Linked DNA regions of Drosophila melanogaster. The protein of the gene in region 2 interacts with the protein of the main gene of each other region in a pairwise test. Each region holds a gene or a part of one and is shown on either strand. Other genes may lie near its edges. The genes, in order: robo2 and CG15475.

Region 1 (5,165 bases), about 19 Mb from region 2:
CTACCCAGCTGACCATGTCCAAGTCGCCTTTCAGCCATTCAAACTTCCAGACTTCCAGACCGATGTCTCTCTGGGCTCTGCGTTCTGGGTTCTGGCCGTCGTCGTAAGCCTGTTGTTTTAAATAATTAATTATTGTTTGGCTGGCAAATAGTCGACTGGAGATCGAATGCTCTTAGGAAAGGCGTACTGAAGCCACGGCTAGTTGCAATTAGAAGTAAATACTTTTCCCCAAGGAGTGGCTATGTGTTTTCTAAGGAATTCGATCCAAATTGATTTTTTTATTAGAAGTAAAACTACATATTACTGAAAACCTATCACTCCCGTCCTAGTCCGTATTTTCGAATATTCCTAGAAGTACGTCGCTATCCGCTAGACCTTTCGCCAGTCGACTTGCAACACCTCCACCCACATTGGCCCGACTTTCAATCACATTCCTGCCCCAAACTGTGTGCCAACGTATCGGTGCTAGCTATGGCATGGATACTATCCCATAAGACCCCTCATTATCTAGCCTGCAGCTGGGAGCAAATGGGAGATCTCGTTGAGTGCCGGGCGATTGGTAGGGCAATCATGTGATTGAACAAATAACATGCTACGGAGCTGCCACAGCACTTGACTTCATTTCTTTCGCCCGGGAAAGTAGGAAAACTAAGCCAGAGACCGCTACTTAGCCCAATTTTCGCATAATGCACATGAGAAAATTGCACAAGAGCCGAAAGGCTTTTGCCAGGCGGGCACCCAAAAAAAAAAAACACAAAAACACAAAAAATGCCAACATAAACGGCCAAGACAAAGGAAAGGATAGACTGCCACCCCCGGAGTCAAAACGAAAAAAAAAAAAAAAAAAACAGAAAGAAGTGCAGTCAGTCCAGTTAGCTGGAAAAACGCTCCCCAGAGTGGCATTAGAAGGTTGCCAAGGCTGTCAACCCTGCAACTTTGTGTTGAGGGCGATAATTTTTATGACCCCGACAGATTCTCAAGCCGACTGCGATTGACCCACCACCCAAAAGCTGGGCTGCTAACTGGATCTCGCTGGTCACACACCACCAGAAGTGAGGAACAAAATCCTGTCGTGTGCCGGTGCAGATAATTTTATACAATTTATTATATCAAACGGGCGACGTCGCGTGCAACACTTGCCACGTCACATCGGCCATTTCGGGATGGGGACACTGAGATACAGATACTTGGTGCTGCAACACACAGCCTCAGGTTGCGTGTTCAAGTGTTTACTGAAATCCGAATTCAAAAATCCCAATCCCAATCCGAATCCGAGTTGCGTGTGTCCATGGACGATATCAGTGGACTGGGCGTCGTTGGTTTGGCATTAAAAAGCGTTTAATAAGCATTAGATTACAACATTCTCAGCGTTGCAAGGGGTGTGACGACTTAAGCTCATTTAGATATATGTTTTATCGGCGGAGGTATAGAGCCATGAAATCGCCAAAGGGTCTAATTTAAAAGCGTTGCTTAACTCCCATTCCTTAAACCGCCAACCTCAAACCATTTCGCTTTAGTTTTCTTTTTGAACTTGCCATCTCGACCACAAAAGCCACAAACTCGATTCTTTGTTTGATTTTCCTGTAATCAGTTGCGAGATTGGAGCGGGAAACTACACTCGGTTGATTAGTCTTTCGAACTCATTACTCATTTATCTAAAGTTCGGTTTTGGTTTTGGTTAGTGATCTTTCCCGAGATCCTCCCTAAGGGGTTTACAATTTCTGTGTTTCGATTTACCCTCATCCAACTGAGTTTCCACATATGCATTTTTTTTTCACTTTTCTCGGGTTCGATGTGTAATACGATCTGTGTATTCTTTGGAAGTTGTATTTAGTTTTCCCAAATGTGATCCCTAAGTGGGTTCAGTGGGTTAGCATTTGTTTTTTGGTGTTCGTTATGTGGTGATAAGGAATAATGAGGAATTAGCAGCATTGTTCTTAAAAGTATCCATACTAATAGATACTTCTTAACCTTCCCTAACCTGCAGAGAACTTCTGAGAGATCTCTGGAATTACGATACCGATTGCAATGCCCTGCCAAAGCCCAAACATCCAGCTATGCCCATCCAAAAGTCGCCCCATTATGTGCATCTCTAATGAGAATCGGGAGAGAGAGGCATGAATAATGGGTCTATGGGCAGAGTCGATGTCGCGTTGTCTATAAAGCGGCCTTAAAATCCATTAGCGAACGTTGCAGGCATAAATAAACCGCAGTGCCTTAATTTCACTTTGTTGTTCGGTCGGGCCGCGTGTGTTGCAACCAAAAATAGCCAAAAGACGGAGTCGACCAACAAAAAAACGTAAATGGAAACAAATGACGCTAATAAATAAATGGGGAGTGCAGCGACATGAGGAGGCAACTCATATGCGGCCGCGAAGGATTTTCCCTGGCTCTGGGAGGAAATAGTTTGTCATAATGCCCTTCAAACTAAAACAGAGATCCCACAATGCAACCCTGCGAATGCAACTCTGGAGATGGACGCATCTTGCATCTGTTGACACTTACCCTTGAGCGCTCCGACTTGAGTTAATCCGTTTAATCCCGCGAGGAGCAGCAGCAGTGGGAATACTGCGCGTCGACTCCGATCGACTGGCATTATTTTTAGCCGCTCCCCATGAAAATCTCGATTGTTTCTGTGTCGGCGTTTGATCTCGCTGGCAGTTTTATTTTTGATTTTGCTTTTGATTTTAATTTGAATTTCGCTTTCGTTGGTTAAACACTGAGGTTGCAACCGCAGCGGCATTCCACGCATCTCGCACAAATGCATTTTGTCAAGTATTCTCGTTTCGCCTCCTTAATTGCACACCATTTAAAATAGATTTGCACTCATTTCTCGATACGCGCAATCTTTCGGATCTTCTGTTTTGGCACACACAGTATTTCTGTTCCTCCGAGTTAGTTATTCGCTAGCATCTGAATCCATGGCGGCGCCACTAAGTCCGTTTCCCGGAACGACGACGCGCGTAACCCGACGAATCGAACGGATACGGATATATGGACTGTATCTGCATCCGCAGCACATGCGAACCGGCTGACAATCGAAATGCGACTGAGGAACGAATTCTCGTTTCGCCTCGGAGCCGCCACCCGAAGTCCACTTCGGCTACTGCTTCGTGTCTGTGTATCCGAGTACCATCTAGTATCTGTATCGCTTCGTGCGCTGTTCCGCGTTCCAGTTCGTCCCGCTTGTTGCATGCTGTGGAACGCGTTGGAACTTTGTTTACTTTTACTGCAAGACGGTTTGTTTTGTTCCGTCTTCACTCGTTTCGATCCACGTGCCCTAGGTTTATCGTCGAGTCGTGCAACATTTCGGGTGGTGGTGCATCATCATGTTGCTATTGAGTGGATGTGAATTGTTGGAATATGTATCTGACTTCCAGGACTAGATGGGGATTTCTTTGCAGCACAACACATAGTCATGTATTTATTGGCTTTTTTTATGAATAATCTGCATCATTTGCTAATACAAAAAAATCTACATTCAAACGGACTTTAACACCATGCCACATCCATTTCCAAGTCCAACTTGTTTATCTCCAGCTCTTTTCCATTTTTATTCGATCATTCAAGCTCTTTTTCACGTTGTCAAGCCAACAAATTGCCAACCTTTGTGCCGCTCAGCCTCAATAGTTTCCATCCGAATCCGAAAACATTTCGAGCTCGGATAATCCCTACTTGTTGCGCTTTATTGCCCTCCAGCTCCACCGTGTCCGCTCAACCCTTCGCCGGCGCAGAGAGTCGAAAGAGCCCCTCCAAAGGGGCGACCATTTCATATCTAATCTGCTCGAGTGCCCCACTCACTCTCCAGCTGTTAGCTCATCTATTTCCAAACTGCAATAAAGCCAGACACAGTTCTAGACGATCCGTTTCACAATGCGATGAATAGAAATCAAAGTGGAGACCCGTTCTTGGACACTGTCCCAATATCTAGACGCCTCTGCGCGCTAATGAATTTCGAAATCAATTGAATGGCCAGCTAGACGATATTGTATTAATTTATCAAAGTGCATATCCGAAAGGGCTTTCCTCTATAAATCGCTGCCTAATTTCCCAGCGTTTGTTAAATAATCAATAACTTTTCCTCCAGGTAGAGTTCTTCGGACGAGTGTGAAGTCAGTTCATTAATGCCGGTGCTCAGAAAATACAGATACAGATACATTCGACGGGCAGAGAAGTGTAAAATAAAGGTGTGTATCTTTCCTATAAAGGAACTATGCGTGCATTTAGGAGCGGGCAGGTGTGGATTCCCTTTCCCCCTCCACTTCCCCTTTTCAGAGTGCAACACAATGTGCATTGTCTCTGCGAGAAAGAAAGGTCAAAGTGCGTACGGCGTATGTGAGTTTGTTGCCTTCTCAAGTCCCTCGTTTCTTCGATTCTCCGATCCCGACTCTCGAATCCCGATTCCCACTGCCGCTCACCTTTTATAGAGGCGAAGAATCCAGGTAGAGGAAAGAGAGAATTCGTGGCAGGTAAACCATATTTCAAATGCTGATAATTGGCCAATTTACAGCCAGGGCGAGTTGCTCTGCTTGAAAGGCGAGATATCTGAGCCCGGTTGCCACGCTTCATTAGCACTCAAGTGAAGTTGGGCAACGCTGCAAGTATATACGATAATATATAATATATAGATACCTTATGTCCTTTACCTTACCAAAGTAAATCCAATGTGCTAACTATCCGATGGATTCAAGCATGGATTTTTGATCTATGCCCGCAACACCCAAAATATTTACTCCTTAAGCTGGCCCGATTAAACCTGCCAACCCATGACCTTACCAAAACAGAGGGCCAAGAAGTTTGGCAACACTGGACTGCACTCTGAGTTATCTAGGCTGAAATGTTGACACTGCCTTTGTCATGTTTGGGCCTCTCGCCCTCTCTTTCCAACCGGCTCGTCCCTCTCTGTCACACAGTCTACTGACTGACTGTTTGTCTGTCATGTCGGTTGGTTTAAGCCTTGTTAATGGCATGTAAGTTGCGTCTCAATTGCGGATTTGCGAGCTTCCAAACGAAATGAAATGACATTTTGATTGTCAAGCCAAAGCTGAAAAAGATGAGAGGAAGGCGAAACTCACGAAACTTATAAATGCACTTTAATGTACGTGTTTAAGTTTATTGGAAGGATGCGCTGCCTTCTTTTCATTTCTCGGGCCATTTGTGCGCTC
Region 2 (3,768 bases):
AAAGAGTATTTCGATGTATAGTCCTACTCTAATGCAGAAATGTGGCTATATTGCAAAAGAGGCAAGGTATGCCAATTTAATAATAGATTCCCAGACACAATTTCTTTATGTGTACCACATGCAGCAGCTAAGTAATTTTTTATAGTGTTTAAGTCCTTGCTGTAGCAGAAAAGATCACGGAAAAGAGGACAACAAAGGACCTGAATGAACGAGGAGAATGCCAGTGAAAAGGGGTCCCCCGCCAGAACACATTCCTTTGCAAATGTCAAGTAAATTGTTGTTTGCTCGACAATCGGCAACAGGCGGCCCAAGAACAAGAACTCCTTCAGGACAATTCCCTTCTTGAGCTTTGTCTTGGTTCTTACGCCCTAAGTCAGTTAGGAAAAGTTAAGGCATTAGTAGGGAAATGGGGGTACGATACCGTGGAAGAGAAAGGGCAACTCGTTAGGCTCGCTTAAAGTGGATATTACTTTTTTAGGAAACTTTAATGGCTGTGCAATGAAAGGGCTTTAAAGTTAAGTATATTTCACAAATAATTTTATGGTTTTATCTTAATTGAAAGTAGTTTGTTAATGAACATCGTAAATTCAGTATAGTAAAACTGGGAGCAAAAGAGTTTTCTTTTATTAGGATTTAGTAGATGCATACCCTTTGGGTAACAATTATTCAACAGAGCTTCACAAGCATATCCTTTCGAAAATCCCTTTAACAAGTGAGCATTTTGTTCGGTTCGGAACCATTTTCAGTAACTGTCAGGGAGACTAACCCGTACATTTTTTGCATTATAAGTGGCCATTTTTATACCTTTATCATGTTCTACGTATCTCTGATAAATTGTCTGCCCGTCCACTCAGCTTTAATTTGCCTGTCATTTCGCATATCCTGCGAGGGCTAAGCTGACATTTGGACCCGTCAACTGCCACTCCCACCTTTCTCCCGCCTTTCTCACAGGCTTACGGCTGAGCTGCGCACATTTTGTGAAATGTAAGCGCAAAAAAGGGGAAAAACTGGCACAGGTCGCAATCTGGGGGCAGCAAAAAAGGAGGCTGGAATGAAACTAATTACGTGGACGACTTTACACGCAGATAAGGCTTTAATCACCGAAATGAAATGAAATTTCTTTTAAGGGATAACTGAAGGGAGAATTTGCCTTCAGGCCGACACTACGTCGTTAGGCAAAAGTCTGCAGAGCAAAGTGTGAAAGCCATGAACGCGACCACGAAGCGGGTTAATTACGTACAACAAACAATAAATTACTTGGTCCAGAAGATACAAAAAGAGGGCGAAGACGAACAAAAAATGAAATAAACTGCAGGAAAATAAGAAAGAAATTAGTTAAAAGAGACCCTAATCAGCTTAGTGGACTTTTTGCTTTGCTCGGAAAAGATGATTAAATTTCTGTGTCAAAATCAAAGGAATATTGCGTATACGCCGTGTGCGGCTGGACTTTCGGCTATGTCCTTGTTTTGATGGTCTTCGTTTCGCTCCTTTTCAGCTGTCACTCCTGTAAGCTTCTTTTTCCACTTCTTTTTTTCTTTGCGCTCATTTTCCCTGACTCCTTCACTTTATACGCTGCCTTTGTTTTTGCAAGCTCACACAAAAACCAAACATACCCAGCAAGCCAGAAAAAAGGCGAAGGAATTTTTTAATTATAAAATGTGTTTATCCGGAATTAATTGTTTTTGTTGTTCTTTCCATTTTAGCAGCTGTCCTGAAAAAGTAATCCAGCAAAAATAAAGTCTTTTTATCTCTGCATTTCTCTTTGGTAAATTACTCGCATTTTAAGCCATGACTTTTTGTAGTGCACGAAAAAGGATTCCTAACCCTTTCTAGAAACACTTGTCGGGTTATTTTCCCCAGAATTCCACTTAATTCTAATATTGTATATTTTAAACTCTAGTTTTGGAATCTGATAAATAATTTACTGATCGTATGGCAAAAACAGCTTTACACACGAGTCTAACGCAAATTGGTTTAGCTCAAATCAATATCCCAACAGCTTTACTTATAATTCATAATATATTTATAGTTTTGGCACCACATCGATTTTTTTCATACAACCCTTGAATTTGCCATCAAGTGGTCTAATTGGCCCTGACTCATTTCTACATTTCTACAATAAGCTCAAAAACTCATTTTATTATTCGTTGCAGTTCATCGAGGTCTCAAAAACTAAATGGCTCACAATTCAACACTGCAGCGCAAAACGAAGCTAACCCGCTTGGAGAATCCTTTGGTGGCCCCAACGTATCAACAGCAGGGAAACGGCTGTGGACTGGCCAAGGAGAAAGTTCCGAAAATGAATGCCAAACGGTTCACCAGACCATCCAAGACCCAGGCGGCAGAGCCAGCACCCAAGGATACCATTCACGATAATGCGAAAATATGCAACCACTTTGATCTATGCCGGGCTTCCAAGAATCCGATCAGAGCTGCTGGAGGAGGAAATACTCAAGTGGTTTCAAAATACCAGAGCGCGGTTAGTGTGAGCAACCAACCTGTTCGATCAACAGTCCCCAGAGCCACTCATCCAAAACTGGCTCCCAAGGAGGTCAGGGAAGCAAGGGAACTCATCTTCAAGGATCTTAAAGAGGCGCGAGCTGCCAAGGAACCAAAGGATTTTAGGCATGTTAAAGAGACCAAAGACCAGCAGGATCCCAAGGAACCCAAGGAGCCCAAGGTGCCCAAGGAACCCAAGGATCTGAAGGCAAGTGGAGCCCGCCAGAACATCAATCGCACCAAGAACTACTTCGACAAGTACCTGAAGTTCGCCTTTGATCTGAGCACTCCCGATGGTATCCAGAAACTGGAGGACCACTTTTTTCCGAACCAGGACCCCACTGCCCCTGGCGTCTCAAACTCTAACAGGGAAAAGTAAATATTTTCGGATTTTCCGAATGCAAAAACTATTGTGATCTTGAAGGATTCATGCCCAAATTTGAAGTACTTTTATTAGTTAACATTAAATTGCAGCGGTTGAATTATTTGAAATTCTTGTGATAACCAAATGATACATTGTTAAATAAATAACTCGGTCGATTTCTCTTTATACTTTAAATTTGCATACGAATTTTTCGATCTAAATTGACAATGAACATTTAATCGTTTCATACAAATCTGGTGCAGTGACGTTTGTCCCTCAGTTTAAATTGTTTAATATAAACAATTTATGTTTTTTCCCTAAGGGAATTCAAACCCATGAGTGTAATGAGCGTTTATAACACTTTTGTGAGTGCTTGGCTGAAATTAGAAAAAACGCTGCACAAAGGACCATTTAAATAGTGGGTAATGTTCTACAGGGATAAAATAAAATTTATTGTGTGGTCCAAATGCCGCACTCTCTCTCTCTCTGTCTTTTTTCCCTATGCAAATGTATTGCTCTTTGTTCAACACAAACTCACGCACACATCCATCTGCGCACCCACACTTTCGCACACTTACCAACACACTCACAACGCCCATTCAGCAGAGCAACAAAAGCTGCGCACTGGGCATTGTAAATCATAATCAAAACAATAGAACAAATGAAGCTAATGTGCCGCATGCAAAACAACAATCGGCTGAATGAGTGGCAGAAAGGACGAACGGGTGGCGGGTGGTGGGTGGTCAGGATATGTGATCCTGGTCGTGACAAACCATTAAAGCTGGCGAATTAAATTTCAGAATCTCTTCATTAGGGGGAAAGTATTCCTAATTAGAAGTATAACATATTTCAACTGGCTTCCTTCAGAATTAAAGGAATGTAAATATGTCGATTTAACACATGAA

The links.
Region 1: the proteins of CG15475 (region 2) and robo2 interact in a two-hybrid assay, tested with the Drosophila melanogaster proteins (one large-scale study listed by BioGRID).

Annotation. Positions count from the first base shown.
Region 1 is NT_033779.5:1,417,399-1,422,563, forward strand, and holds the start of robo2 (roundabout 2), read right to left. Parts: upstream 3,056-5,165; 5' UTR 2,768-3,055; coding exon 2,506-2,767; intron 1-2,505.
Region 2 is NT_033779.5:20,612,505-20,616,272, forward strand, and holds CG15475 (uncharacterized protein), read left to right. Parts: upstream 1-2,017; 5' UTR 2,018-2,176; coding exon 2,177-2,878; 3' UTR 2,879-3,055; downstream 3,056-3,768.